Oreochromis niloticus: one gene and its partners. The protein of the gene in region 2 purifies or fractionates together with the protein of the main gene of each other region. This does not show direct contact. Links are inferred from orthologs where the notes say so. Each region holds a gene or a part of one and is shown on either strand. Other genes may lie near its edges. The genes, in order: prkacab, akap1b and prkar2b.

Evidence for each region.
Region 1: the proteins of akap1b (region 2) and prkacab purify together in Homo sapiens (affinity purification with mass spectrometry; 8 studies listed by BioGRID and IntAct, with this or other methods). This does not show direct contact. The link is inferred for Oreochromis niloticus from reciprocal best matches to the Homo sapiens genes AKAP1 and PRKACA.
Region 3: the proteins of akap1b (region 2) and prkar2b purify together in Homo sapiens (affinity purification with mass spectrometry; 3 studies listed by BioGRID and IntAct, counting the BioPlex papers as one, with this or other methods). This does not show direct contact. The link is inferred for Oreochromis niloticus from reciprocal best matches to the Homo sapiens genes AKAP1 and PRKAR2B.

What each region holds. Positions count from the first base shown.
Region 1 is NC_031971.2:31,064,202-31,074,637, forward strand, and holds the start of prkacab (cAMP-dependent protein kinase catalytic subunit alpha), read right to left. Parts: upstream 5,125-10,436; 5' UTR 4,370-5,124; coding exon 4,324-4,369; intron 2,894-4,323; coding exon 2,832-2,893; intron 1,179-2,831; coding exon 1,050-1,178; intron 1-1,049. Other genes in the region: asf1bb (histone chaperone asf1b-B), read right to left, coding at 7,376-7,573, 8,226-8,402, 10,028-10,143.
Region 2 is NC_031979.2:5,261,425-5,271,510, reverse strand, and holds the start of akap1b (A kinase (PRKA) anchor protein 1b), read left to right. Parts: upstream 1-5,750; 5' UTR 5,751-5,903; intron 5,904-10,086.
Region 3 is NC_031972.2:48,754,343-48,765,017, reverse strand, and holds the start of prkar2b (cAMP-dependent protein kinase type II-beta regulatory subunit), read right to left. Parts: upstream 4,045-10,675; 5' UTR 3,750-4,044; coding exon 3,485-3,749; intron 2,398-3,484; coding exon 2,362-2,397; intron 1,305-2,361; coding exon 1,252-1,304; intron 1,162-1,251; coding exon 1,078-1,161; intron 824-1,077; coding exon 717-823; intron 572-716; coding exon 418-571; intron 1-417. Other genes in the region: hsp90b1 (endoplasmin), read right to left, coding at 7,274-7,297, 7,400-7,495, 7,709-7,864, 8,029-8,107, 8,204-8,340, 8,464-8,709, 8,801-9,070, 9,321-9,386 and 5 more. UniProt on the Homo sapiens protein: Regulatory subunit of the cAMP-dependent protein kinases involved in cAMP signaling in cells. Type II regulatory chains mediate membrane association by binding to anchoring proteins, including the MAP2 kinase.

The DNA of each region.
Region 1 (10,436 bases), on a different chromosome or scaffold from region 2:
GGGAGTGAGCTATATTTCCAATAGTGCGATACCAAGTAAAGCTTGAAAGGCAATGTTTGTTTGCCAGGGTAACCCCAGTTCTCTGAAAACTGAGGGAGTTATTTCATCGCATTGCCCTATTTGCATGTGCAAAAATGGCTTGTGTGGGGCCAGAGGCTATTTTTAAAAGGGTTTGGGGACCCCATGTCCTTGAAGTGATTTGGTCTGTCTTAGACAGATGTGATGGTAGTTTAGCTTCTGTTAAAGTATTGGGTTTACCCTGGGAGAACACCCTGTGGACCAAAAACTCCATCTAAATTGTTTACTAAAGTTAATTTTCAGTACAGCAGTATGGTGCTATGTATGCAGAGGAAAAAAAATAACTAACTAACTAAATAAATAAATAAATAAAACTACGATGCCCACCTCCCTGAAACAAGAGCAACATAGACTTTTTTGTGAAAAGAGCCATAGCAAAACAACACCATCGTGTTCATGTATATTCACTCTCTCTCTCAGGCATGTGTTCTGTCAGTAGTACTCGCAGAAGACTGTAAATTGATGGATTACCTTCATGTCCCTACTGATGCAAAAATTAATTTGCCAGTACTTTAGTACAGCATGATAGATATATAGATATAGATATTCATTCTGATTTTGATTTTGCTAAAATCCCAATCTAAGTGTTTTATCAATAAGATGATAATTAAGCCATAATATAATTATATTGTGGATTAATTATCATCTTACTCACAGATTAAGTCAAAGATTTATTTTAACTGAATCTTAAAATTACTCTGGTGTTATCCACGTAAAGACAACCTCCGCTCTGTCACTACAACTAATCCCTGCTTTCAGCACAAGTGGGTTCAGATAACAATTTCACCTGTATTTGAAGGGCCTTTAACAAAATCCATAAAAGAATAAAATCTTCCGAGTGCAGTATTCACATCAATTAGATTTCTGTTTTCTATGACAATCCTGTGGGAAGACTAACTAAAAATTGGACGGGAGCGCATTTAAACACCCCAATCCCTCTGTGATTCTGGTGACCCCTGACCCAGACTGACCTTCTGCTTGTTGAGGATCTTCATCGCATAATGTTGTCCCGTTTCTCTGTGCTTCACCAGCATAACACGACCAAATGAGCCCGTGCCCAGGGTTTTCAACCTCTCAAACTGCTCCAGGCAAGCAGTGTTCTGAACAGACAAAACAAAAACGGTTAGCTGATTTTTGTGAAAATGGGATATTTAGGGTCATGTTGCTGGTAGCGAGTTTTTATTTTCAGCTACTCGTGTGCTCACATTTACCACTAATTCTTGTATTTTTATTGTCTATATTCTTCGCAAATGTTATAAACAAATATGCAATAGATAATATATGTATAAATTAACATATTTGGTATGTATGGTTTATAATTTCTTAATAGAAAGTAATACACATGTGCATACATGATACAGTGTAAATTTAAAGAACAATAAAGAAAAAACTATAACTCATGTTTGTGGTACCTGAACTGTTTCTCAGGATGCTGAGATGGTCCTAGAAACTTATTTATCATAAATAATTGATGTTTTTCTACATAGAATCAAATCGTGCTTAACACTTATATATTTTTAGATAATGACATAGACTTTCATTGCATACATATATGATAAATATGGGTTTAGGTTTAGATATTCAGTTTTATCTCAAAAGTCAAAACAAAAATATTGCCTTCACTGCAATTTTTATACCCAGTGCCATAGTTTGCGCAGCTCAAATGAAACTGGATCATTGCTACATAACCTGTTTCACTGACAGCTGTAGGTTGTTTCTTCATTACTTCTTCCTAAGTAGATTTTTTTAAAAAAGTTTTGGAGATGATTTGAAGTGTGGCACATGCATTTGGGAGCTATGAAGCCACAACATGTGTTTGAAAGAGCTCTCATTTCAAGTGAAACAAGCTATCCTTGAGATCCATTTCAAAAAATGCAGTACTGGTGAGCTTTGCTCAGTATTACAGTATTGCAATGGGCCATTTTTATCATTGTGTTAATTTGTCCATTTGACAATCTGAAAATAATAAATAAAACTGAATAAAAATTCTGTATATTTTTTAACCCCACATTCATCATTTAACTTCAATAAGCTTAATAAAGGATAAAAAATAAGCCAGTGTCCCAAAACATATGGAGAAAATTATATACAGTATAAATCAAACAATGTTGATACAGATTTACAGATTTAATGGTTTAATTAATGTCTACGAAGAATATTAGGTGATCTAAAACAACATTTTTTTTATAGCTTTAGGGTTGATACAGTTGACATTGCCCTACGGGTTATTTTCTAACTTTCTTACTCATACTGCATACAATATGAAAAATGTATATTGAATTTTAATTTGCAGCATTAAATATGACAAAACATATGAAGTTGTTTTATGTCACAGTTTACTTGAAACAGTAACTTGCATTTTAAAAACAGTCAGACAGTAGCATCATCACTAACCAATAGCCAATAAACAATAAAACTGATGCTATTTACAAACCAATTTATTTATACCGCCATCTGAATATATCAAAATTTTCAAAAGAATTGGCTGTCATTTGCATAAAGTGATAGCTGGTAATACTGAACAAATCAACAATAAAGACATGAAACAAGTGAAATTTCAGTAGCTATGATTGGCATTTTCAAAAGCAGCAACACACACAGAAATAATGTATATATTTCTTTGGCCATAAAGAATTAGATTGAAAATTCTGTTTTTCTAACATGCAAACAAAGTTAGGATTAAATTACAAACAATATATCCTGTGTATCATATTTCTGAAGCTTAGTGGGCAGAAGTGCATGCACACACTAACCTGTGCAGGATTCTCCCACTTTTTGAGGAAGTCCTCTTTGGCTTTAGCAAGGAATTCCTTGACTGTGGAAAAAACACACACCAGTGTTTACATAAGAAAGGCTTTAGTGGGGCATCGGTGTGTATACAGAAGGTGAAAAAACAGCAAACTAAAGAAATAGAACACATACTTTATTGTCTGAAGTCAACAGCACAGAGTCTGACTAAAAATTGTTAATTAAATCAAATTTTATTCATATCCATCGTAAAACCACCTGCTCATAACTATTACTCACAAAGACCCAGAGGCTACATGGATGATTAGCCAATGTGTCGAAAGTTTTGAGACGCACACTGATCATCTTATCTGTTTGTAAGGTAATTCAGGCTGTGTTGGGATTTTTCTAAATGTACAGCAATTAGTCCAGATATGACTGATAGTCTGAAAACTACATGCAGAATATTCTCAAGTGCAGAAAAAAATACCTGAACTTGAAATCTCATCAACAAGTATACTCATTTAAAAGCTCAAATTCCAGGACACATTTCAAAACACTTGTTCACCTATTAAATATCAACACTTTCCATTCTCACCTTAACTAAACAACTCAGCTGCTCAGTGACCAGGATGCATCTATACCAAGTAGCTATGCCATATACTTAGATGTTTTGATTTAAATGTCAAGCAGTCCTTTTGGCATACCGGTTTCTTTGATTTTCTTAAAAAAAGATCCATCACAGTATTCAGATTTACTTCAGTTTGTGACACATACATAACTAAATAAACCTTTACACATCATTTCTAATAAATTGCTATTCCAAAAATGATAAGTTTAAAAAAAACCCACACACAACAGAATAACCTCAGACATGAGCACATTCATCCTTCTGTATTTGGACTTACAGTACAGCAGACAATCAGACTAGCTCAGTGTCAATCTGCAAATCTTAAGGGGGTCCACCAAACAAAATAGCCCCCACACTTTCAGCAGCATCTCTTTCCAGAGAGCAACAGGCACTGTGTGTTTGGGAAATATCTGACACATAGCTTGTTGTGATCTCGCCAAGATTTGAGTACAAGAGGATGTGAAGTTGCCAAGATTCTTGCAGCTTACAATAGCTGTTGGTTGTTTTGCACCTCGTGAAGTGATTTGGCTATGGAAACTGTACTACCACCTGCTTTATCATACAGCAGCATCAACTGAATCCACAGAAAAAGCTCTGTTCAAAACGGACCACTACTACTGAGCACCTATTCATCTATCTCTATATTATGAGGTTAGTTAGTTGAAATGTAGCTGCGTAATTTGGGCTCTTGAAAGCTATCCTGGCAGAGGCTTATTTAAGGACTGAGCAGTATGAGTGGATCTTTTTAAATCAGACAGCAGAAATAGGCCGCTGCATGGAATGTTAACTGAAGCTAACATAGCCGCTGTGTCACACCGTCTCTGGTGATTTCGTGAGGCTGGAACAGAGCAATGTGTTATGTGTAGCGTACAGGCGATGGTACCCACCGCTTTCCATCTCGCTGCCCTTCCTGGCCGTGGGCGCGTTGCCCATGATGACAACCTGTCAACGGGAGATCCGTGGCTTTTTGGCCGCCCTGCAGCCTTCTCAAGCCGGTCTAATCTCGATTAGGTCTGATCGGTATTTTCTAAATCCAAAAGCACCAAGCGTTAACTCCGAGGTCTTGGTCTTTAATAGCCTGGCAGATGCTGATGCGGTGCCAGGGCGAGACGAGATGGTAAAGCGGGCTCACTCACTCAGTCATCAGCAACGGGCGACCGATATATAGCTCAAATCCACGGGGAGGATACCTTTGAGGTATCTCGGTCGTTGGGGCTTCACTGGACCGTAAGGCCGAGCTCGGCGCAGATGGCCTGAACACGGAGGATCCAGTCTTCGCCTGTCCCTCCTTGCAGCCCCCGCCGAACGAGCCCCCCCGGCTCCCCACCTCTCCCCAGCCTAAAGAAAAACGACACCAGAGGCGGGGACGCGATATTCTCAGCCCAAGAGCCGCCACTTTTCGTTACTAAACCCAGCTTTTAAAAATTAAACCTCGGCGGGGTCCGACGACGACGGGAATTCACCCAAATCAACATTGGCCCCCCGTAGCCTCGGAGACGAGCGAGATGACGGAACTACAGTCGACTGAACGTCCCGCCCACTAGCCAGAACCGGGTTTTGATTGACAGCTGCAACCAACCCGCGGATTGGCAACCTATGTATGCCGGTATCCCACGGAAGGCACTGATTGGCTCTTCGCAATCCATCAAGAGCGGCACCATCCTACCGCCCTACACAAAGCGAGTGAGAGGAACGTCACCGATTATTTTCCTCCCGACGACATACCCGCCCACTTTTCCTGGTTTCCGTCCTCCATTGGCTCGATGCAGGCGAACCGTGGGAATCTCGGCGAATGTGAAGTTGTCTATTGGCTGTGAGTAACGATTGGCAGGTAGAAAAAAAACCCCTCTTCAGCCCCCCACTCCCACCGCCGCCAAGCGACTGATACACGTTTGGCCAAGTGACGTCAACCGCGAGCTATTTTTAGAAATGTTGGTCAGAATTTAACGCACGCGCGGCGCGGTCGGGCTGGCAGGACTTCTAAACATTTCGCAGACCGCCGTGCGTTAAATGATGAGTGTATTTAGTGAGAATAATAGGAAACAAGACGGTCGTTCTAAACACTCGAAGAGATACCGTCTTTCTGAATGTTTTACAGTCAACCCTCCAACTGCCTCCTTCAACACAGCACAACCACCCCAGCACCTGGATCACCTGCAGGCTTAGCCTAGCATATGACCGAGAGTCCTTTTATTACCAGGACCTTCAAAAGGCTCGGTTTCACATGGATTTGCATCTGAATATCTAATTTCAATGACAATTTCACCTTGTGATGGTAATTTAAAAAAAAGAAAAAAAACTCATGGTATGAAAAAACATCCATTCTATGAATACGAGATCTCTCAGCTGCTGCAGGGTTTGACACCATCATTTGGGCTCACACGACACCACCACGGTTATGTAAAACGGACTCAAACAACCAAATCACTAATTCTGCTTATACATGGTTGTAACTTACATATCACAGTCTCACCACAAAAGACATGATGATGAGAACAATGATGTCAAATGCTTCACAAGTTAATGGCAGACATTTATAAAAAAAAAAAATTAAATAAAATTTAAGATTTAAATCTACATGACCCCTAAAACCTACGAATCATTTGAGCGCTGCTACAGGCTGCTGTTAAAGGACAATTGAAGCTGCATATGGGTTTTACCGCTAAATATGAATATATGAAAATACACTGGTCAAATGTGCAGACATGTAAGAAGTGGACAGAGGTAACAGATGGATGGATGGGGGAGTTGGTCCCTTCAACTAAGATAAAATGGGCAAGAGAACACAGACAGGCCCCCCTTTCCTTTTGTGCAGTAGTTGCCTAGCAACATGAGGCTAGAGTGAAAATGGTGGTGCTGCATTTTATGAATGAAATCGGAAAACAGAAAGGAGCCAGAGATGGGAGGGCGAGGAGCAAGCCAACGTGCTGAGTCTCTCTGCTGTTGCAGTGCTTCCTTCCACACAAGTCAAGGTGGAAAGCAGCCGTATGTAACATGTTCTGATTAACAGGAAACACGACAAGGTCAAAAAAAAAAAAAAAAAAACTTTATTAACCCCATCACTGTTGTTACAAATACTGAAGCTGAGAATGTATAGTAAGTACAAAATGAAAACATGCCTTCTTGTTTTGAAGACAAAATAAGAACAGGGAAAACATTATTTACAGCAAGCCTAAATCATCCACACACACACACACACACACACAATGCAATTTGGCATCCTTCATCATTACCTACATGTTTTGCTCATATAGTCGTTTTATGTAACAGTAGGTGAACTGGGGCCTATTCACAGAAGCAGGTTTACAGAGTAATCTGGATAACCCTGGGGAAAAACATGTTAATGCGAATAAAGCCACTTGATGCCACAATATCATAAACACGGCCCATAATTTAAACCCAATTCCCTCCCCCCAGTAGGTGTCACAAGAGACAAATCTTACAAAGAATGAAGTGCTCTACTATAAGCAGCTAGGTGCTACATCCTTCCCATCACATAGCACTAGTTGATCTGTGCAGAAAAGGACAAAATGAACAACATGGGTATCAGAATCTTGAGTTTGTCCCACACGTTTCAGGGCTGTTGAAGCGACCTGGCCCTGCACTGATGATCTGCACTTCTTTCAGCCAGGCATGAAATATAATCTTATACAGAAATACAATAAATTAAGGCAAATCTGACTGTGCACACCTGTGTGTGTGTGTGTTGAAAGGAAGTGCGTAAAGAGGAGGAACCAAAGGTGGTAACAATTCCAGACCAATCCCATTTTTGAGTGCTTTATAAAAAGATAATGTCTATGCTGTGGTGTCCTGTGCTTTCTGTTAAAGTCCACATGTTATACAGAAACATCCATGGCCTCCTTGTATAAATGTGTGTTTGCAATGTGGGCGTGTATAGATAAGAAGGGCTCCTTATCCATTGCATTAATTTGATGCCTCTTACATGCAGTCCATGGAGTTATCTGGCATCACTCCTAGATGTGGCATCTTTCCTGGTATACAGGATGGAGGGAACATGCCACTGATGTTGGGGGACGGGTCAACATTCTCACTGTCTTCCATCTTGTCTGCCAAGCCCTCCCAGTTGATATGAAAACGGGTGACACGAGGATTCGAGGCCAAAATATTCCTCTGGAGCTGCAATGATGAGAACTTGTTAGAAATAGGGGTGGACTGCTAATGTTTTTACATCAGGACATAATTAGATTACTAATTAGGGAGCTCAATAGTTAGTTATGACAGCCATCCTTAGGAGTGCACATTTCCCCTCAGAACATGGGATAGCTTTGAATTAAATACAATGAATAGTTGGTTTTATGTTGGATTTGTAGAAGGAAAAGACCAGTGTAAAGAGAATAAAGCACAAGGTAATGATTTTAATGCTAATGTAGATACTGGTACAAGGAAGCATGAAATACACTTTTTTCCACCGGAACTAGTGCATTCTTTTAAAACAATGCAAGACCAAATAAAACAAAAACACAGTGCTAAATAATCCCCAGTTAATTCTACTTTTATTTCGTACAGGATGCTACAGTCATCTGTAATTGTACATTTCCGGGCACAAGAGGGCAGCAGAGAGCCATTTATAGTACTTTTCCACAAATATGGCCCATATTCTACACTTAATACCATCTAATGCTGATGTAATGTGGTCATATCTGAATAAAATAAAATAAATTAGCACCATGGGTACACTTCAGTGATTAATTACAGTAAATGCAGACAGCTGGAAACAGCTTCCCTCAGTATTATTCATGATGGTCATTGGTGTACTTGTGTATGTTACCTGAGAGTAATCTGGTTTGAGAGGTGGGTTTTCTCGTAGTTCAGGGTCCGTGTATTCATTGTTGACATAATAGCCGATGCGGATGAACTCCTGTCCACGGTAGGTGCAGGTTATAAGGACTACGGTCACTCCTACAGCATCGCTTTCTGGAATCAGCCCTGTGTTAGGAGCGTCAGCCTGATAGGGTAAATGAGCACAGAGAAGAAATCAGATCAATTCTAAGTAATTATCCTATAAATGAAACAGTAACTGGTTAACCAAACCAGGGATATCAAATACATTATATATGATATTGTGCAAAAGGAGTATGTGAAAATCACTTTTATAACAATTTTGAAGACATGGAACACTCAAAGTGCTTTATAGAGGTTAAAAAAGGCAAAATGGATACACATGAACTGAGCAAAAACACAAACATAACCCAAATGCCCGTCTGAACAGATGCATTTTAAGCTGCCGTTTAAAGGATGCCACTGACTGGAAGGTGCAAAGAATGAGTGGGAAGCTGTTCCAAAGTTTTGGAGCTAAGGTTTGGAAGCCACAGTCTACCCTTAGTTTTCAAAAGGATATATGAAATTACATGAATGCTTCTGAGGACCTACGAACTCGGCCTGGAGAATAGGGGTGGAGCACTTTGATAATGGAGATGAAAAACCAAAATTTTAAAACTGTACTCTAACCTGACAGAAAACCAGTGCAAAAATGTTAGAAGTGGACTGACATATGAAGCCTTTTGAGAGTGAGTTAAGAGTCTCACAGGTGCATTTTGGACAGACTGAAGGGAATTAATAGATGCTTGAGTCAGAACAGAAAACTCCATTCAATAATCCAAACAAGAGGAGAAGGAGGCTTGGACAAGAACCTCCAATTCACTTCTTGACAAAACAAGCTAAGGTGCTTGTCCATGGCTTCCTTTCCTCTCAAAAGCCGTCATACATCAGATGAAAAATCTGACAGTACTTTTCTGCACTTAAAGTTCACACCACTTCCTGAAATTTCTCATCGTTACGTGCCATTTTTCTTTTACGCTTGAATGGTTCATAGGTCATTGTTAAGTGACTGTAAGAAAAAAAATCCTTTGAAAATGGTTAGGTACAAGGGCTAGATTGAAAATGAGTGAGGAAAAAAGTAGCCAATGTCCAAAGAAAAACTGAAAGGTCAGGAGACTTTGGAGAACTATTGTTCAAGACCACAAAAATGATAAGTCTTGACTCCTTGAAAGCAAAATATAAAGAAATGAGGTTTGACTTAGTATAGGCTTGCACAGTACTGTAGAGAGACATGGTTGACAATTAGCATCACCAAGTTCAAGCTTAGTCAGAAAAGGGGATAAGGGAAAAGGGGATGCTGCCTCACATGGAGAAGCTCATCTGTCTTGGGATCTTGTTTAGAGACAAGGGTAAAGTGGAGCAGGAGAATGACAGATCTATATTATTTGTTGCGTTCGATTGACATCTCTACCTTCACCCTATAGACAAAAGGTAGAGACTGACAGAAGTAGACCACAAATACTAGCAGAGACAATCCTCCAAAGGGTAGCTGGGCTTAGAGTAGAACCACTACATCTCTGCGTCTCCTGCATCAGGTGTTGTAGCAACATGCACTGATCCCAGTGAGAACCCAGCCATGATGTCTCTTGGCTGGTCTGGGAACCTCTCAGTTTCCTCTCAGAAAAGCTTTGAAAAAAGATGCTGGGACAGTGCGGTCTGGTATGTCTGCTTTGAATACTGCTCAATAGGGTTTGTTTTCAATAAAACTGGATGTTAAGCACTACACGATAAAAGCTCACCGAGAGGACTCACCTGAAACACAAACATGTGTCTGCCAGCTGGTACAGGGCCCACTAAAACAGAGTCCAAAACCTGGTCGTACTCCTCACTCTCAGCTGAACCCACATAAATGATCTTCCATTCCAGGTCTGCCAGTACACAGAGGACAAATAGGGAGGTTTGTTTTTAAATTATTATTACAAGGTAGGTTAATGTTACCTTTTTAAATTAATAATTATAGTTTGACATGCACAAGCTACTTTTTTATTTTACACACACACACACACACACACACAGCTGTAAAATAGGGCATTGTGAATGATACTTTCACTAAAAGGGTCACTTTATCCAATTTACATAGAAAATGTTTCATGGTTGTCCTTTTTTGTTCTAATTCACCTTGTATTAGTGATGCATATAAAATTTACCTGTAGCACTGGCC
Region 2 (10,086 bases):
AGCCAGCTATTGCTGTCCTCTCTCTCCGGCAGTCATCCTGTATGATGATTGATGGGTCCTTCTTATCCTCTCTAGCACTGTGGAGGATACAGGAGTCCCCTCAAAGTCTTTTCTCTGTGTTTCTTAATTCTGGTACTCAAGATGAACTCAAGCTGAAGCCCTCTTGTCTTTCCAGCTGCATGTTCTTCTTGTAGCATTGGTTTTTGCCTCAGCTTGATGCTCAAGTTGGCGTCATGCCGGGTGCACCTTCTCTTGGCTGTAGCTGATTTCTGTTGCATTTGGGTCTTACTTCTTAAAGGGTTTTGGATTCTGGGCTGTTTGGGTGTTAAAGGTTCATTAGTTAGTTACACGCCCAGGAACACCAAGATCTTATCATGCCTGTGGAGTTTGGTAGAGATAGGATGAGATTTCTTTAAGTTATAGCAAATATGAAGTTGATTAGATAAAATCCCTAGAAGTTTGCAAAAGTACAACGTCTGGGAAGTGCAAAATCAAAAGTTTCAACTAAAAATATTGCAGTTTTATGGGGTTTTTTGAGCATGTTAAAAAGACAATTTTTGAGGAAAATAATAGTAACAATAAACGGAGCTATTACAATTGGGCATGACTTCACATACGTGATTTAATACAGGGTTTAACTTTAAACTTCAAAATAATTTCATAACATTTTCTTCTTTTCTGTGTTATTTAGTAAAATAGAAAATAAATTTCCCATTTCACATTTGAACATTCACTATGGATATAACACGTTTCACTTTATGTAATTCTACTTCAGTTAGATTGGTCTCTAGCATATTCTCACATAACCATTTATTTGAACATAATCCCTTTTTAAGTGAAACACAGGAATACTTTCTTTACTTTTTGTCTTTAAAACTCGGCCCATTTCTCAATATGCGTATTTGCGTGTACTTGCGTTGTGATACGTCATCAGTCGCAGACCAAGTACTGTTCCAAGTACGCTCAAAATGCCCGGATGTGTTCTCGCTCCTCCCATTCTATGGAGCACGCATCGGTAGTGACGTGCAGCTAAATATCCCAGAATGCATTTCGTCCAAAACTCAAATGGCAGAGGAGAGCGGGTAAAAAGTTTGCGATATTACAGTTTCTGTGACACAAAATAAACTTTTAAGAGATCTTCAAGCGAGAATGTTGATGTGTAAACTTCAAACCCACCAGCTTGATACCTGACGGTGAGGTCAAGGTTCACTACAGCTGACGAGAACGCCTGACCCCCGGCACATTGTTTTCAAAAAATGGGAGGAAATGAAGCAACGTCGTACATATTTCCTACAGATATTGGTGAAACCATTTTTGGTACAGCTGACCTTACTTAGCAATTAAACGTGTGTTGTGTCTGATAACTCCCGCTTTGTGGAGAGGAGAGTGGTTCTTCTTTGGGGTTGGCAGGCTAGATAAACAATGGCGTGTTGCTGCCATCTACTGTTTACAACTTCCCAAGTTTTTTTCTAAATAAGCAAGCTAGCCACACAGTCTCAGGTCTCTATATTCTCCCATACAGGTTAGCACTGCATAAGTAATGTAACAGCTTTCCTTTTAAAAATATTGAAAACAGTTTCCCCAGTTTCTCCAAGTCTCTAAAAAGCTTTTCCCTGTGATGAACATGCTCCTTGCATTACATTAAGATGTCTCTAGGGTCAGGTCAGGTCTGGTTCTGTTCCTTAAATGTTAATAAACCTGCAGCTGAATCACTGTATATGATGCAGTATCATGCCTTTGGTACTCAACTCACTAGACAGCCCATAAAACTGCCATCACCTCTACTGTAAAGATTAAACATGCGATCTGTTATACACAAGCTTTTTTTAAACTCTCTTTTCACATATGTACACACTACACGCCACTCTGCTACTTATATGACCTTTGACCCTTCTGTATGAATTTGTAAATAGCCATTCCAAAGCTGTTCCATCCTTGAGTAAGCTATTTTTACGATATCTGCTGAGTTCTTTTTCCCGTTCTTGCTGAGTGCCTATAAGTTAACCTCAGGACCTGGAATGAGCCATGATGGTATGCCTGACCAGCAGACAGGAGGACACACATCCATATCAACAAATCCAATTTTTTCATGCCATGGATTTCAACTCCTCACTAAAGTTGGTTTTGACTTTCTTTGCTGATCCCAGTGCTAGCTCAGTTTTAACTAGAACTATTACATTTTGTCCTTTTATTTTTATTAAATACTTCAGCCCAAGCTTATATTTTCTCATTTTCAAAGGCATTTCACCCATTTCTATTAAAAGGAAGTGGAGTGGTGCAAAAATGTCCAGTGCTTTCCACCGAATTCTATCCAGCTTCTTGATCACTGAAGGGGCAGCTGATGCATATGCCATACAACCATTGTCAATGATAGATGTAATGCTGGCTCTTTATATCATCAACAATGATTCTGTACTGGCACCCCATTCAAACCCGGCTAGGCACCTTAGCACATTATCTTTTCACACTTTATGCAGATATTCTCAATATGGCTTTTCCAAGTCATTCTCTTATCCAACCACATTCCAAGAAAATTGAACAGCTTGACTCGCTCAAGGTCATTTCCATAGACTTGCAGATGTTTAGGTGGAACCTTCCTTTTATGTCCAAATATCATATACTTATTTTTATCAATAGATATTTTAAAGCCCCAATCATTAGCCCATGTAACCACATTCTCCAAAGCTTTCTGAATTTGAGAAAAAATATACAAAAGGAATCATCACTAGCAGACGTAACATTTATTTTTAATCCTAACTGGTCTCTGTTTATAGGTGCAACATAAACCTTTCTAGCTCTACTCACATTTTCCACCAGTTTAACAGCCTGTATCGATGATGGCAGCGGTGTCTTCTTGTTTGTGGTTTCTCAATGCTTCAATGAACCTCTTGGACGATACAGGAGGCCAAGAGGAAGCCCAAAAGTTTCTGTCTTACTGGACCTGTACAGGTCAAGAGGAGTGGTGTGCAGGTTTTCACCTTTACACCACTCCTCTTGTCCTCCTACACAATTTATCAAATCCAACATCTGTTATCCAAATCCAGTCCACTAGTTATAGTTAAACTGAAGAAACACTCCAACATTCCAACTACTTCCAAACTACACCACACACTGCTGACCAGCAACCAGGATTGTGTTTTTTGGTGATCTACCTTTTTAACTTGCTGTTTGGTGACCAACTTAATGGTTTTGTTATGTTTCCTCTCTTTTATAGATTTTAGCAGCTTGTCTGTCTCTTTTACTTTAATTATCCAGAGTTGGAACCAGGAAGCAGAGTTGATCACCATTTTGTCATCATTGAAATAAGCAACTATCACATAATAAGTGGCCACACAAAGCTAGTTATTAACTCTCTAAATTAACCCAGGGTTTCCCACTCTCTTGGCAGCATCTAATGAATATAAAATGGATGTTTCACATTGATATAACTCTTCTTCCACAGAAAATGATCCCATGAGTGCCACTTTCTTGTGCTTGACAAGTCGGTTCATATTCTGAATAGCAATTTTAAAAAGTGAACATTTAGATGTCAGATTTTATTTTGTGAGATGACTCTTTTGTGTAGGATTGGGTGACCACTCAGGACCACCTCCATCCTAACCACCACCTCTTCAACATCCTGCCCTCTGGAAAAAAGTTCAGATCCATCAGGTGCAAGACCAACAGACTAAAGAACAGCTTGTTCCCGTGGGCTGTCAGAACTCTTAATGCAAACTAAGAGTGCGTACAGACTTCTCCAACACATCCACTCTGACACTGCTGTTGATCATCTATGTGCAATATCTCAGTCTTTCCATGTTCTGTGCAATATTTTTGGCTCGTGCAATATTTGGGTCCCAGTAGAACTACCATCTCCACCCTAAATTACCATAGCCCCTCCACCCTTTTTTATTTATTATATTATATAACTGCCCTTGTATACAGACCCACAATTTTTCTGTTTCAATGTTTCTTACACATACACCATGTATATAGTTTCACTCACATATATGTATACATATACATTGCTTTTTATTTTATTTTATTTATTTATTTATATTTTTTTCCCCTTGTTGTACATTGTTTTCTCTTCTTACTTTTGCACCTTTGTGGTCCAGCTACCCAATTTTGCTGTGCAAGAAACTGCACAATGACAATAAAAAGCTCTAAGTCTCTAAGTCTAAGTTTCTCAATACTTTTAGCAGGAAAAATGGAAAATGGGTATAGTGATTTATTGAAACATGCAAGTGTATATGTATATGCATTATATAAGACAAAAACAGAGATTGTGCAATTCTAATTAGCTTGCAGGTCAGTATTAACATAACCCAAAGTCTATCAGGAAAGATTTATTGTAATTTATTTAAGCAGTCTGTTAGTAAAACTTTTTTTAATTTTGACATGTCATTTAGCTGACTGAAATTTGGAATTATCGAACTGAGCTGGTTAAAGTGTCTCTTACTTTGCTGAATGATTTGCATTTTACGACAAAAGGCATCTCCTGATTTTTTATATTCTTTGTTTGATTGGCTGTTTTTGTTCACTCAGCCTATATTTGGTATCTATGACAGTTAAGAGATGTTCTCCCAATTAATTTTTTCTTATACCACTGGAAAGCCTGTTTATTTCTCCTTGATTGGTGCCACAGTTGTAACTAAAATGCATTTGTGGGTTGAGGATGTGGGTTGTATCCATGAAAACTTGCAAAGTGTTCTCTGCCAATGACTAATTACCTTAATTGTTGTGCTAAGTTTATTAAAAGTATATTTCTTTTTCTAAAAAAATATAAAACAATCTTGTGATCAAAACCTTTGTTCAATTTATTACTAAACATGTAAACAAACTTTACTAAGCAATGAAATGAACACAAAATAATTATACTTAAACTTATGTCAAGTATAAATGGGTTTCAACAGGGCATATAACAAAAGCCTTTGCACTTGTTTTTACTGCACTACAAACTTAAAGTATGTTTGAAAAAACAACAACAACAACAACAACAAAGAAAACCAAAATACAGTACTAATGCCTTAAAAGGAAATACTGCCCAGATAGTGAGGTACCTTCAGAGAGAGTTTGTACTCTGTGAGTGCTCAATGTTTGGTTTACTTTGAAAAGCAGTTTTGTGAGACTGGTCAGGTGTGTCTAAGTAAGGGCAGTTGATTTGGGCACAATGACTCTCTCTCGCTCTCAGCTTAAATAACAGAGGGATTTGCATTTTTGATTGGAAAGGGATTTATGACATTTTAAGGCTGGGTCAATGCCTTGAGCTCCTTGTCTTGATGTTAGAACTGTTTCTGAGCAGCTTTGCTGTGTGGAGGGGTACATTGTCCTGTTGGAGCTGTAGGGTTCTTGGTCTGCAATGCAAAGTGATATAAATAAATAAATAAATGCCATTATTTAAGGTTGTCCAGCAGAAAATTGTATAACAAAGACATGCACCAATTTAATTTTACTTATCACACAAGGTGCAAATCCTTCTGTTTGTAAAGTTGTGCTACTTCTAACGTGACCTTTGCCTTAATCTGATGACATTCATTTATATAGTAAAATTATATGAAAACGGTGCTCTGTCCCATCTGTACTCAAAAACGAATGTTATTTTTTCCCCATTTTTATAGTAGAGGTGACCAGGATGATATTAAATCTACCTATGAAACTGCATGAGCTTAACAGAAGAAACGTTTACCTTTACTGCATTCTCAGTTGACGCAAGACTCCAAGCGGCTTAAACTTTAGAGTATCGCGAGATTTGATCAGCTGTTATGTCTGCGTGTTTTTTTCCTCTTTTTTTTTTTAAGACTGGTACTGGTCTGTCAAACACGTGGGGAGGAGAGTGTGACTTTCCACTAGCGTACGTTTCAAAAAAGCTCACGTTGTTAGTGTTGCTATCATCGTTGCGGTACCGAGGACCCAAAAACATTGTAAGTAAAATAATTAGTCCGGGAAGGAAATGGCACACTGAAAAAAGAGACTGTTAGCTTTTAGTTTTCTATGTATTGCATGCATGGTTCGGTTTCATTCACATTTATGTGAGTATATTTTAGGGGAAAAGACATTCACTTGCATTTCTAGTGTTCTCTGTGGGTCGTCAAATGTTTATTGTGTCACCATGTGATCCCATGTCATTGAAAAACTAGCCTACAAAGCAACTCCTCCTAACTTGCCATTCAGAACAGCACACGTAGCTTCTGTTGTAGAAGTTACATTTTCGCACTTGCTTTGTATTGTTGAGCTGTGCACGTGCCAACGTAGGAGCATTGGTTCTTGGATAATAATAAATGCATTTTGGCCCAGAGTTGGGAGTCATTGTCGCCAGGCCGGCTAGCAGGCTAGCATGAAGGTCTAAGGCCCATGCGGGGCATTGGCAGTCTTTGGCTTCAAATGTCCTTTAACCCTGCATCGATTAGAGATACCCCCTCGTTGGTGCAGTTGGGTATAGTTAACGACTACGTATCACACAGCTTTATGTTGTGGCCCAGTACGTCTGTAAGTCGGGGATATGAAACTCTGAAGTGGCTTTAATAATGTAGCCACATACGAACGTAGTCTAAAAATAATACAGTGCAGGGAACATGCCATTAGCTTATCTTTTTTCATGTTTAGCTAGCGTTAATTTTCATAAACGTCAAAGCCACTGTGGTTGCTATGTAGCTAACTTCATGCTTTGTATCCTGCACTGCGGCCTCCTTAAACAGCCATGCTGTATTTCGTGTTTGCATTAGGTCACAGCCATCTCTGCTACAGGGTTTCATCCCAGACGGTGCCAAACTCCCTATATGCATTTGTCGTATGGGATTTAACATCTTATTGGCTGCAGGTTTTTCAGTTTAGTACGGGGCATAACTTCGCTGTTGGATATTTTTTTAGAATCTGAAAAATTCGGCATTAAAAAAGACCTGGCAGCGTAAAGTAAGTTAAAGTTCTTATAAATTGCTGCCTGCTCATAAGCAGGGTCTAAGTATATATTTTTGCGCTTCTTTCGAAGGTTATTTAGGTTTTAGTTGGCTAATGCAAAGAACTGTGAGGGATCCCCTTATAAAGACAAAATGAATCGCTTGAGTCACAAGTGAAAATGTTATTTTGGTATGCACAGTGAATTCATTTTTCCTTACCATATAGTCATGTAACGTTAAACTTCGAGAATTATATATGAAATTCACATTGTGGCCTTTGTACTTCCTAGCTAGCTAATTGTGTTAGCCGGTCTGTGGCGATGGAGTGCATGACCACACGCCACGGTTTTGTTTTGTTCTTTTGTTTTTTTTGTGTGTGTGTTTGTTTTTATGCTGGGACAGAAAGCATCGCCACTAGCATTATAGGGAACTACACAATGTCCTACAGTTGTAGTATTAAGGCATAGCTAGCTGAACGCTTTTAGCATTTATTGAGTCGTTGCTGAAAGACGGCTGGGGTGTTGAGGCGCACCTTCTGTACATCACTGGAGCCTGGGTCACATGTAAAGTGGACTGGTATGTGGCTGTAGCAACTATCAACGCCACCTAAGTTTACTAAGTTGTTAGTAGCAGCATGGCTCCTGTAAGGTCTTGACTTTTGCCCATAGGGTATGCAAGACTTGACAGCATATTGTATTAATATCCCGGTCAGTCTGCAATTCGGTTTGTTTACATAAAATAATTTGGTTTTCATTTATTTAAAAACAGTGTCACATTCATTGTTAATTTGTCGTAGTGTTGATGGTGAGTCCCAAGGTTCATTTAACATGAATGATGGTGATTAAAGGGATATGAGAAAATGTATGACATGAAGAATAAAGTTTAAACGCAAACAGGTGGGAATTGAGTGACACTGAACTTGTTGGTATGCAGGTATTTTGAGGCCGCATAATAATTTTACACTAGTCTGTCTGTGCTGGCATGATGTAAGATTTAGAAGGTGTAAAATAGTTTAATCATTCCTGTTTGAACAGCCAAGGTCACAGTAAGAGATGATCTTACAGTTTATAGACAGTCTTGACTATAAGGCCAGGAAAGGAACCAATAAAGACTTGTCTGACCTGTAAGGATAGCTCTTCATTTTACAGCTTGTTGCTTCCATTGTGACCTTTATATGGTGAGTGTGTTGTCCTTGGATTTAACAGCAACACACACAAGCTACACATGAAGTCTGGGAGCTTCATGTGTTGCATCTTTGCTGGTCCTTTCCGGACAGATCTTAAATGTTACTCCTGGGATCTGCTGGAACCACTCGCCCAGTTTGGGAGTCACTGCTGTAAGTGCTCTGATTGCCACTGGGACTGCTGTTGCCTTTACCCATCACTTATTCTCTAGCTCCTCTCTCAGCCATTGGCATTTCTCAAGCTTTACATATTAATTTTTCCTGATTTTTGCTTTCATTTGGTACAGTTACATGTACTACTATGGCTTTATTCCTCTGCTTGTCCACTAGTAATATTTTAGTTGTTTAGCCATCACCAGTTTGTGTGAAATCCCACAGGATTTAGCTTGGTCATTTTCAACCACCCTGAGGGGCATATTCCGTTTTGACCTTGGGACTTCCGGGCCATACTCTGCACACATGTTCCTGTATAGTGTGCCAGCCACCTTGTTACTGGGTTTCATGCGAGTTCCATACATTATCCAGGTAGCAGAGGTCACTAACGTTTGCTCTATTCCATTGTCTATATCCATAGCCAGTCTTGTTAAAGATTTCAGTGATTTGCTGTCTTTTTTTTCTTTTTTTCTTTTTTTTTTATACCCAAATTAAATAAAATAAAGGAACCCCCCCCCCCCCCCCAAATCCACCTTATATAAATAGGTGATGCTGAGGATTTCCACTTTAACAGCATTAGCTTTCTGGCCAAGTTGTGAATGCCATTAAGTTCTTTTTAAAAGGAGAGAGAGTTAGTCAAAAACCCTGCTTTCAAAACAAAGCTATCAGCACTCGCAGCATTATCCCTTTCAGTTACATTGAACAAATATGAAAGATTTCTGACTGAAATCTTTGCAGAAAGGGACAGGTCGAAAACATGAAGTTTCCAAATATGTTACTTTGGAGCTTTGACTGCTTCTTCAAGGTCAAATAAGGTCAAATTTTCATTATGTCAACCTTTCATAAAATGCTTCATCTTTAAAACTATGCTTAAAATTCTACTTCTGTGTTTGTATTGGCAACATTTAGAAAATTATACTGGTAAATGGGAAATCTAAATATCACATAGTTTTGATCCAACACATTTGACCTCTGATGTCTTTTTTTTAAAGATTGATCCCCAAAATGCATTTTATCCAGGGGTGGGAATTGGCACCTACCACTGGGCAAATGCAGGTAAATTTATGAAGTGGCATGTAAATCTGAACAATAGACAAGCCACCATGGCTTGTCTATTGTTGTGTTTTTGTTTGTTTGTTTGTTTGTTTGTTTTTCTGTTAATTTTTAACAGAAAAAAAAAATGTTCAATTTGTACTCCTGACCTGTCTGGGGCAGCAATGCGCTTGGGTTGCTGCTAGTTTTTATTACCACTATTCATCGGCAGCACGTTTTAAAAACCTTTGCCCATGCAACAGCACATTAATGACTAACATTGTATTGTGGTTGGATTCTCAGTTGTTCTTCTGACTGAAGTTTCGTCCATTTACAACATCCTGCCATGCAATTGCATTTGTCGATAACCACTGGGAATGGTCACGTTAACTTTTATGGACTGGGAAAAAAAGTTAGTGGTTGTCCTCCAGCTTCACTGTGTGTATATTATTCTAACCATAGCTGTGTACCTAGCAACAACATAGCACATCATTATATACCAGCTAGTTGACTTCAGTAACCCTACAAACATCATTACTGTTTAGTTTTCCAACATAAATGAAGACAGAAGTGATAGCAGAGCTGTACTTTTAGTTTTTCAGAAATCCCTCTGTCAGAACATGGTATATCATCTTTAGATGCCAGTAAGTTAGCTCGCTAGTTTCTAACTTCAGACTCCGTTAAAATTCATAAATTCTGTTTTGGTGGATGCCTGGATGTTAAATTTTTACACCTGGTAGAGCAGCCACACTGATCATTTTGTTAAAGATGAAAGAATTTAGACAGTTTGTAACTCTCAGTGATGCTGCAGTGTTTGTTTGAAGTGGAGTTTGGACCCGGAAA
Region 3 (10,675 bases), on a different chromosome or scaffold from region 2:
CACAGGACATGGCAGCAACCTACCCAGCTTGCACTGAGAGGACATAACTGAGACGTTACCCACAGTTCAGCGATGGCTCTCATAGTCACTAATAAACAGCAGCTTCTCAGAAATAAGTCAGGCTGCAACTGGATACTGAAAGCAGCTGCTGTTATAAAAACAGTTTCATGTTTTGCGGGTTTTGCTTAAGCAAAATAGCATCCATGCTGAAATGTAACAATAAAACGAACAGAGCCTGGAGGTAAAACAGCTGCTTTCGCCTTAATTTGTGTTCACCTAATGATGGTTTCCACACCGTCACAGATAAACTCCCCGTTTACTTAAATCATGACAGCTGACAGCACAGCACGCTATAAAAACCTGATTAAGCATCCAACTGTGCTATTGCAGGGGGGTGCGGTGTAATGGTTTACTCACTAGGCACCAAAGGGCTCCAGGTGAAGTGGCGATTATTGTGGCTGCCCTGGGGGTGTTGTACATCAGCGCCAGTTCTCCAAAGCTGCCTCGGTTGTCATAGCAGCCCACCAACTTTTCCGTGCCATCAACCTTCACGAAAATGTTAAACGTGCCACTGAATGGAAAGAAAGCGGGGGAAAAAACATCTTTAGTTAGCACAAAACAATGATTTCAGCAATTATTTAGCAACTGTGTTCACTTTTTTAAGTTAAATAACAACCTATAAAGCAGTTTGAAATTCAGGAGTAAGTTAAGCCCACCTTTCGATAACATAGAAGTTGTCCCCGTCATCATCTTGATCAATGATATGTTCCCCTTCCGTGCAGAACTTCTCGAACATGGCATCCAGCACCTGAGACATCTCTTCCTGTCATGGTGGGGGGAAAAACAGCAGTCAGACAGTGAAAGAATCACGCTGAATGCACTCAGAGTTCGTTTTCGAGCTTCCAAAACAAATAGATAAATAACCATCTCTAAAAAAATCAGGCACGGTGCACTGGGCATGCAGCAAAAAAAAAAAAAAGAAAGAAATTTGCTGGCCTTGGGCCATGTTTCCCTTTGTTTAATTTAGGATATGGCAGGGCACAAACCAGAGAAGAGCTTATGGAATAATCCACTCACAGGATCCAAATTCTTGAACAGAAGAATGTCCCTACATGCTTCCTGTAGTCTCTGTCTCTGCTCATCAGTTTTGGGGTGAGTGACCTAAAACATAAATCACGAATCAGACTTATAACCTCTGAACAGTTAAACCAATTGTGTAAATAAAATAATCACTGGATGGATGCAGTTTACCCTTGGCTCTTTATCCTCATCATCTTCGTCAGGATTGAATGCTTCAGCACACACTGCATGACACAGACACACAAATCACATTTACATTTCTCTTATTGATGAGCAGCAGTTATTTTGTCCATACAGTGTTTTCAATTCTGGGGCAGTTTTCTTGTTATTAGCGACAGTAGATGTCAAAGGTGTTTGTAAATAGAATTGTTAATTAATCCCTTATTAATTGCTTGTTTCGTCCCGTTCATGAATTATAATGCTGAAGTATACCAGCGTCTCTAGGGTCTCTGAGAGCTCACTTCCAGTGGAACTGTCTACCAGGCCTTTATTTGAAAAAGCTTCACTTTTTTTTTTTTAAATGAACTTTTAGATGAATAACGACACCTTACATAACATCTGAAAAACAAATGTTCATCTTCAGGTGGCCCACGGCACAGACTTCATCCCAGTCAAACAAAAAAGGCAAATTCCAGGGATGATTCAGGACCATTTCAGGCAATAAATCTTTCAATAAAAACAACTTTTCTCATCTTGAGTACAGGAATATGCGGTGATGGATGACAGCACTCTTACCGCATTTCCTTCCTATATGTTAACAGAAAGATGGGGTAGTGGTATAAAAAACTTTCAACTTGGCACAGGCTAAAGTGGAATATAGTAAGTGGCCAGCTTAATGTTAACTTAATTAAATTTGTTTTCATTTCCTGTGCAAGCTTTACAGTGTACTAAGTAGAAGATGTTCGTTCCCCGTCTGAAGTGATAAGAGGTAAGTTAAATACCTAAGTTATTAATAAATAATTCTTTCCATTCAGAAAGGCAGACCAAGCAGCTATCCAAACACAACAAAGTTATGTGAAGCCGCAACTTTACTATTGCTACATTACTCACTGACGGGTTCAAGACAAAGTGGCTTCACAAGCTGTAACAAATCAACACGATTACAATAAGTGGAAGACGGTAACAAAAGACAGATGGAAAAATACTTAAGTATCACTTGTACTGAAACCAATCTGACGCAGCCTCGCTAGTCATGTGTCACAGAAGGCTTTATTTAATGTTTTCAGCTCAGACACTGTCCAGAGTTTCCCTCCTTGACACAACAGGAAGATGGCAACTCACCTGATGCTCTTCGGATGAATCTGTTTATCACAGGGGCTGGAGAAAAGAAAAAGAAAGATATATATCTGGGTTGGGTTTTTTTTAAAAAAGCATGTTAGATTTCACCATAAAAGATATCCATCCATCACAAACTGTTATTGCTAGGAAGGTTTGAGGCTGTTGTATTTCTACATCTACACATCTACAGCACAAGTGGAGCATTCTCATTAGGGTCTATATTCATCTGAGTAAAAGCTGAATGGGGGACAGCTGCTTTGAAGTGGATTTTAGCCTTTGAATCAAATTTAAATGAGAAAAACAGTGCCAAGCTGCTACACAATAGGTCAGTATGAAATATACATTAGATAGGAGGTCTCATCCATTAATGGCCTGCCAACCAGTGCTGACCGGGGAATCTCGTTGAAATATGGGAGGCATTAATGGTGGTTGGTTGGTTGGTTGGGGGGGCACAACAATGACCCAAAACACAGACGTTTAACAACTGCATGTGAGGCATTTCTCCTTATGTAACCATTGCAGCCAGTCTTGCAGAAGCCACCACTCATTGGGATGCTGTGTCAGAGCTCTGGGTTGCTTCTGGCTGCACCTCATTACACTCTAGCAGCAGTCACTGTGTTAAATACTTCAGGAAATGTAGGCCTGTCGACGGCAGATTGTGTACTGCCTGCATCTATATAACAGCTGAAGCTGTAGCCCTTTATGTTTTACAAGCTTTGTCTTTTTTGGGGGGGGGTACATATGAAGGGGAGGCCCACCGGGCCTGCACCTGAGACAGAAAACATTCAAACGGTCCAGATGTTTTTATTACTATCATAATTATTTATAAAGCAAACGTAGAAGCCGCAGTGTGCAGGTGCTATTCTCTGAGCAGAAACGTGAAGAGCAAAACACGTTCGTGAAGCAGCATTGAGCCTCGGTGACCATATATGGCAAATGACAGAGCCGTTGTAAATGTATGGCGGCAGCATCAGCGCGCTCGATGTGGTTTCTCATTCTCTCCCACAGAACAGCCGCGGTGCAGCCATCCATCCATCCATACATGCTCACAATTCAAAGCAAAGCATCTCGAGTCACGTTCAGCATCCCCCTGACAGAAACACGCACGGTGAATGTGTTAGCCCACCTATGAATTCCTCGTCATCGTCGTCGTCCTCCTCTCCGTTTTCCGAATCGATCTGCATGGCTTCGTCAATGAAATTGACCGCTTTCCCAAGTCTCGGGGCCGAATTTTGGTCATTGCCAAATGAGGCCTCTTTGGTCTCGTTCTCCTTAAGCTGGGTGAAATACTGTAGCGCAAACTCGAGCAAGTCCCTGGGCTGATTCCTCAACACTTCCACGGTAAAGCTCTGTAACAGCTCCGTCAGTCCTTCAGGAATTTCTATACTCATTCCTGTTATCAGTCTATGGATGTGGACAAAACCGGTTTGCTGCGAATTTCAGTGATTCAAAAGCACCCAGATCAGGTTTTCTTCCCGTCGTGTTTTTTGGTTGGCTTTTTTTTAAAGATGCCGAAATCAGCAGACGGGTGTGTAGTCAGACCACCCGCTCAGCAAGCCCTCCACAGCGGATCCTCTCTTTTTCTTGAATGAAAATGGCTCTGGATTTTTGGTCCGAACATCTTCTGCTGCTTCTGGCTAGGAAACCCACGCATGTGACCCAGGAATCCATGGCAACCACCTATCCAGAGATTGCGTATGAGCAGCAGCGGCGCAGAAACTGCAGTCAGTCGCAAAATACAAATGATGGGAAAGAGAAGCCCTGGGGAAGGCTCTTTCAGTCATAGATCGATTTTTCACTAACAGAGATTAGATCAAATATCCTGCGGTCTGGCATGTATGTTTTCCGTGGTTGTTCACTCACACTTACCCTAAACGATTTAAAATATGATTAAATAAGAAGACATCGCATATTATTTAAAAAGAAAAAAACAACAGCAGTAGACATAGCAAGGCTAAAGACAAAAAGGTACTACCATGCAATGATAAACACTGAATCTGAGGGAAATGTATCTATTTTTTTGTTTTGCCACATGTAATTCATATTTAAACAGGTAAACATTAAAACCTAAGACCTCTGTAAAGACCTACAGCTCAATAAAGATTAGTTCTGTATTTTTATTTAGGCTTCTTTTTTTTAAAGGAGCTAATAAGAAAAGATCGTTTATGATAGTTTAGAGAGTTTGGAGGCTCATTTCTTGTTCCATAGGGAGAAAATAATAATAAATGTGCTGGATATTTTAATGTCATGGGACCTGTCAGAACACTTTGACCACGCCAGATGGAAGTTTCATTTCAGAATCAAACGTTCCCCTGTGATATCACGGACTTGTGTAGCTGAACATTTAGTACATTAGAAAAACGGCTCAGACAGAAAAAATAAGTCTAGGTCTCAAACTAAAGCTCATTAATCATAGACTTCATATGGACATCTATCAAGAGATGAACTAATGATGCTCTGCTGTGGGTTACAATATGACTGAGCCACAAAAATGCATATCCACAATATGAGTTCAAATTTAGTTGACACTTTCTCGTACCAGAAACATTTGTAGGAGTGACATGAGTTCACAAGCCTGCAAAACTACATTCTGTCAAACAGCTAATCCAGAGAGGAAGGGGAAGTAGAGCAAAACAAGGGGGTAAGGGTTAAACTGGAATGCAGAGCAAGTGGGAAGTCTGCCCACTTGCTGAGGTTGGGTGACCTCAGGTGAGTTTTAGTCATGGCATGTGGTGGCACAACTACTACAGTGTGAGAAATCCCCCCCCCCCCCCCAAAAATCCCTTCTCATATTGTGTTGGAATTTCAAGGCTTCCAGCAGAGAGAAGGTTAGTTTGAGGGAACCACTTGAGGAAACAGATAATAACTGTGCTAAAGGAGCACAGCTATTATCTGCCATGGTTATCATTCCTCTGTGGCTCCACTATGACACCCCTCCCCCTGCTGTGGCCCATATCTGTCACCCTTTATTAAGAAAGGCGCAGCATTTCTCACTCCGGCGAATGGGAGCATGTCGATGGAGTGACCTGTAATGCTCCACTGCTGCAGTTTAGCTGTTAGCTTTCAAACTCACTATTCCAGACCACTGTGAACTATAAGACACCCCCCCACACACACACACACACCCCCACACACACACATCTGAATACAGCACAACACCATCATTTCATCTACTGTAAGAGTCAGCTGCACAAAACACACACACTGTGCGTCAGCCCTGTTCACTGAACCATAGATCCTGAAGACGGTTTCTACTTTAAGCTTCACAACAGACCAGTAGAGCTTGCATTGGTGTAATTGTTAACTACACTTAAACAGCGAATTCTCTGTTGATATACAACATACATATATATACATATACATATATATACATATACATATATATATACACACACATATATATATATAAAGAAAAGAACAGTTTTCTTTTAAAACAACTTCAAGATACTGTTCATCAGATGTAGATTTTTTTAGGCCTGCATTTTTTTCTTTTATTCTACAATGGCATTCTTTCACGTGCATTTCAACTAAAGAAATGGGGGGGGGAAACATGTCTTTTTGCAATACTTAAATAATACTTGCCAAGTGAAGTGGGGCGAGATCAGCTTCGAAAGGGCTCCATGTTTTTATTCTATGGCTTCATCTCAAAAATGTGAAGCTGAAACCTCTTAAGTCAATTTAATGACGTAATGATTGAGTGCGTCCTTTAATTCATTGGCTGCTAGAACCCATTTTGAATGTATTAGTGCCACCTACTGGACATCCCACTACATTACAATGTATTGTTAAACTAGGATACAGTTGATGTTGTTTCCTGTTTCAAGTGCCATTAAGTTGCCGTCTTTCCTGAGTGTGTTGGAACAAATGTATTTCTTGGGTAAAATAAGCTTACTGTGTAAAATTAGATAATTAATTCAGTGGTGAAGACGCCCCCCCGCCAAAAAACCCCACAAACAAACAAACAAACCCCAAACAAGTTTTATCTCTTGCATCTACTGGCTGTTCCACATCCTTGTGGGTTTCATTGCTTTCCTGTAAACCTTGACAAGCCTGTGGTCTGCATGTTTAGGTCATCATAACAGATTCTGAGATAAACCCACACAAGTAGATTTTATTAGATTTAGCATTTAGTGTACAATATTATTATAGTCAAAATCACTATATCCAACAATTAAGGCTAGGCACCTAGTTCTGCTCACTTTCAGTAAAGAAAAAAAAAAAGAAGAAAAAAAAAAAAAGGCATGGCTCAATGAAGACATCCTGTACAAGATGCATCAGTCTTCATGACATCTTACCAGTAAGCCATCTCCCCAGGGTTGCTGTAGAGAAACCACAGGGGTGTCACCCTCAGTGCACTTAATATTTTTTTTTTTTTAAATGCATCCTTCCTCATTAAATTTGCATAAATGTGCAACCGAAAAGAACAGTAAAGTATCCTAAATGTAGAACAGCTCATGTAACCATGACTCTTTACATCATTTCAGTCTGAAAACAAACTGTAAAATGTCATGGCACCCTATGTATGGGTAGATGTATTACACTATAAGCTACAGCCAGACTGTACTTTTGATATGTTGGGATTAAGATGACTGAAAAAGAAAATAGTAGCCAAGACCTGTCTGAAAGCAACTCTTTCAGTTTTGAATAAAACACCAGAAACGATGCAAGCATTTTTTCCACGAAACATTTATTTGATCAATAGACAGGATCACATCTTTCCATAAACAGGTCAGTTAAATATTAACAAATTTACAGTCATGAGGAATGTAATACAAAAGAAACAAAAACAAATATTCGCTTTAAAAAACCCCAACCCAGGGACCCCACCCAGAAATAATGTGGCCACGGTGGCACTGAAACAGAGACTTAAGTCCATTTTCCAGCTCCACTGTTACACGCTCTTCCCTTCAGTGCTTCACAGTTCATCCTTGTCTTTTGTCTGTAAGAGTGATTAGAGAAAAGTCAGAAGAGTAAAGCACTCCATCATCTAGATTCTTAATTTTACATTCTCCTCAAGCAAGAGTGTGTGAAGTGTTCTCACCGTTTCTTCATCATCATCCTCATCCACAGTCTCCTCTTTATCTTCAGAGTCATCTTCTGCTGGTTCCTCAGGCTCCTCCTCTGGTTCTTCTTCAATCTATAAAAGAGTCATGATCATTAAATATATCCTACAGTCTTAAATATCACTGCAAAAATACTTAACATTTTACAAAGATTTAAAAAGCAGAGACAGGACTAAACTCAAAAAAGGTCACTGATGGAAGAGGAACCATTAGTTCAGACACAGATACCAAAACTGAAACATCTGCTATGCAAATTAGTATACCATACAAGAGCTGCAGTTACTTGCCTGTTCATCTAGTGGTACATTCAAGCTGAGTCGGAGCATGCGCTCTATTCTGTCTCCATAAGCTTTTGTATCAACGAGCTGGTATCCTGAGCGCAGTGTGGCTGTCTCAAACAGAACCACAGCCAGATCTGATGCAGTCTGGTCCTCAGCATCGGCCTGGGGGGTGTGAGGAAAAGAAACTGTTCAACTATGTGCTCTGATTGGTCCATTTTAAGTTTATTCATGTAATGAACTACATTTACTAAGTAATTTGATGGTAATCTTAGTAAAGGACAATTACTATAGTACAGATGTACAAAAATGACAGTGGTTAAACTCACATTGACTCTGTTAAGCAACTGCTTGACAAGAGGATGTTTGGGGTTGAGTTCTAGTGTTTTCTTCTGGCTGGCATAGTAACTGGAAAGATTAAACAGAAATACAGATTTAGAGCAAAGCAATAGCAGGTGGAGTAATAAATGGACATGCAAAGATCAGCACGGGATTAACACTCACTTTGTGGAAATGTCCTTTCCTGTCTGGTAGGCCTGTGCCTTCATGATCCTCTCCATGTTTCCTGACCAGCCATACTGACTGGCAACCAAGGCGCAGGGTGAGTTGGTTAGCCTCTGAGAGAGAACAGCCTTCTCAATCTGTTGGGGAATAAACAGCAATGCATTAAATGTTGCAACAGACATAAATGGGCAGCTATAGCCAAAATTAACTGCTTATACAGCTGGCACTCATTTCCCATTCTTTTAATATCACAGCATTACCTTATCCTTTAGAGCTTTGTCCTTCAGCCAAGTTGTGAGAGGTTCGAACTCCTTCTCCAGGGCCTCCCTCTTCTCCTTGGCCTTTTCACTCTCGTCAAATTTGACACCTTCCTTGGCCACGTTCTGGAAGCGTTTTCCATCAAACTCTGGCAATGCCTGGATGCAGTACTCATCCACAGGCTCTGTCAGGTAGATGACCTCATAGCCCTTCTTCAGCAGCCTCTCAACGAAGGGAGAGGACTCAGCCTGTAGCGGATGGAAGAACAAGAGACATGAGAATTTCAGCTAGTGTAGGATAGTTTACACTTCTTTCACCTGGCCAAAAACATTCACTCACCTCTTTCCTGCTGGTGCCAGCCATGAAATAGATCTTATCCTGCTTCTCCTTCATGCGCTCCACATACTGCTCCAGGCTGGACAGGTCTGTTTCACTGTTGGAGGTTTGGAAGCGCAGCAGCTTAGCAAGACGGGTCCTGTTGGAGTGATCCTCAATCACACCCAGCTTGATGTTGGTGCCAAACTCCTTCCAGAACTTGTCGTTGTACTGTTCCTCTGCAATCTTCTTAATCATGTCCAGAGTCTTACGGACCAGCTTCTTGCGGATAACCTGAAAAAGATAAAATAGGTATGACCATTTCATACTGCATTAAATCTAGTGTTAGTTATTCAGAATCTTTAACTTATGCTTTAATTTAACCATATTCTAGTGCCCCCTGTTATTCCTGAAAGCACTTTATGATTTGCGCTCATTAAAAATTGCTTTGTTGCTTCATTATCCATTTTAATCAGTGGCTTAATTGGTTAATGATGACTAAATGATGGAATGGGAAGCGAACAGGGCTGCATGTTGAGCTCACCTTGAGCAGTTTGTGCTGCTGCAGAGTTTCTCTGGACACATTCAGAGGAAGGTCGTCAGAGTCAACCTAACAAAATAAAGTTTCCCTTAATCACGGTGCAGGTGATATTAATGCAGAGACCAAGCACATAACATTAGCATGAGATCGTCGAATAAGAGTTAAAAAATAACTCACCACTCCCTTGATGAAGTTCAGGTACTTGGGCATCATGTCATTGAAGTCGTCTGTGATGAAAACTCTCCTGACAAACAGCTGCGAATGGAAGGCATTTACTTTGAAACTCAGTTTTTGGGGTATTGCTGAAAAAGTTGAATAAATCTGATGCTAAATATTGCTTAGGCTACACACCTTGATGTAATCGTTCTTCTTGGAGCCATACTCGTCAAACAGCCCACGGGGAGCTGAAGTGGGCACAAACAGGATGGACTTAAAGGTGACCTCACCCTCAGCTGTGAAGTGGATGTGAGCCATAGGGTCATCATTGTCCTGTTGGAAGATGAAAGATGGGTAAAGTTGACATTAGTATACCAGCCTACAGAGCCGGTTTGACGAAGTATTACTGGTTGTGTGCCTACCTTTGAGAAGGTCTTGTAGAAAGCCTTGTACTCATCTTCCTCAACCTCCTTAGCCGGCCTCTGCCAGATGGGCTTGATATCATTCATCAGTTCCCAGTCCCACACAGTCTTCTCAACCTACACATCACACACAATTATATAACTTTTGAAAAATATACATTTTAGATCAGACATATTTTCACAGACTGCTTTCTGAGTAAAATAGTCCATAAATCTTAATGACTCAATGGGACTTTAACCCACCATAAAAAACTGTTAATGATCACACATATGTCAATATAGTCCTCAACCACCATTTCTTCATTAACATACCTTCTTTGTCTTTGGTTTGTCTTTGTCCTCTCCTTCTTCTTCCTCTACTTCAGCCTCATCTTCAGAAGCCTCTTTCTCTGGTTCCTCTGCTGCCTCAGCATCTTCCTCAATGGGCTCTTCAACCGTCTCAGTCTTGAATGTTAAAAGAAATTATGCAACCGTTTGTTCATTTCCATATTTGCCAGTTTCAGTCTGGGATTAAGTCTGACTCATAGTGTTGAAGGAAATGACAAAGTAGTCACCTTGCTGGCCCACACATAGATGGGGAAGTTGATGAACTGGGAGTATTTCTTGACAAGATTCTTGATGGTCTCCAGCTCCAGGTAGTCTGACGCCTCCTCCTTTAGGACAAGTCTGCAATTAGACAAAGATGAGATTAAATTTCAAAGTTCAGGCTTTTATAACTTTCAGACTCATGTAGCAGCATGAAAATACTCTGCAGTTCTTCTTCAATAAAGACTGTACATT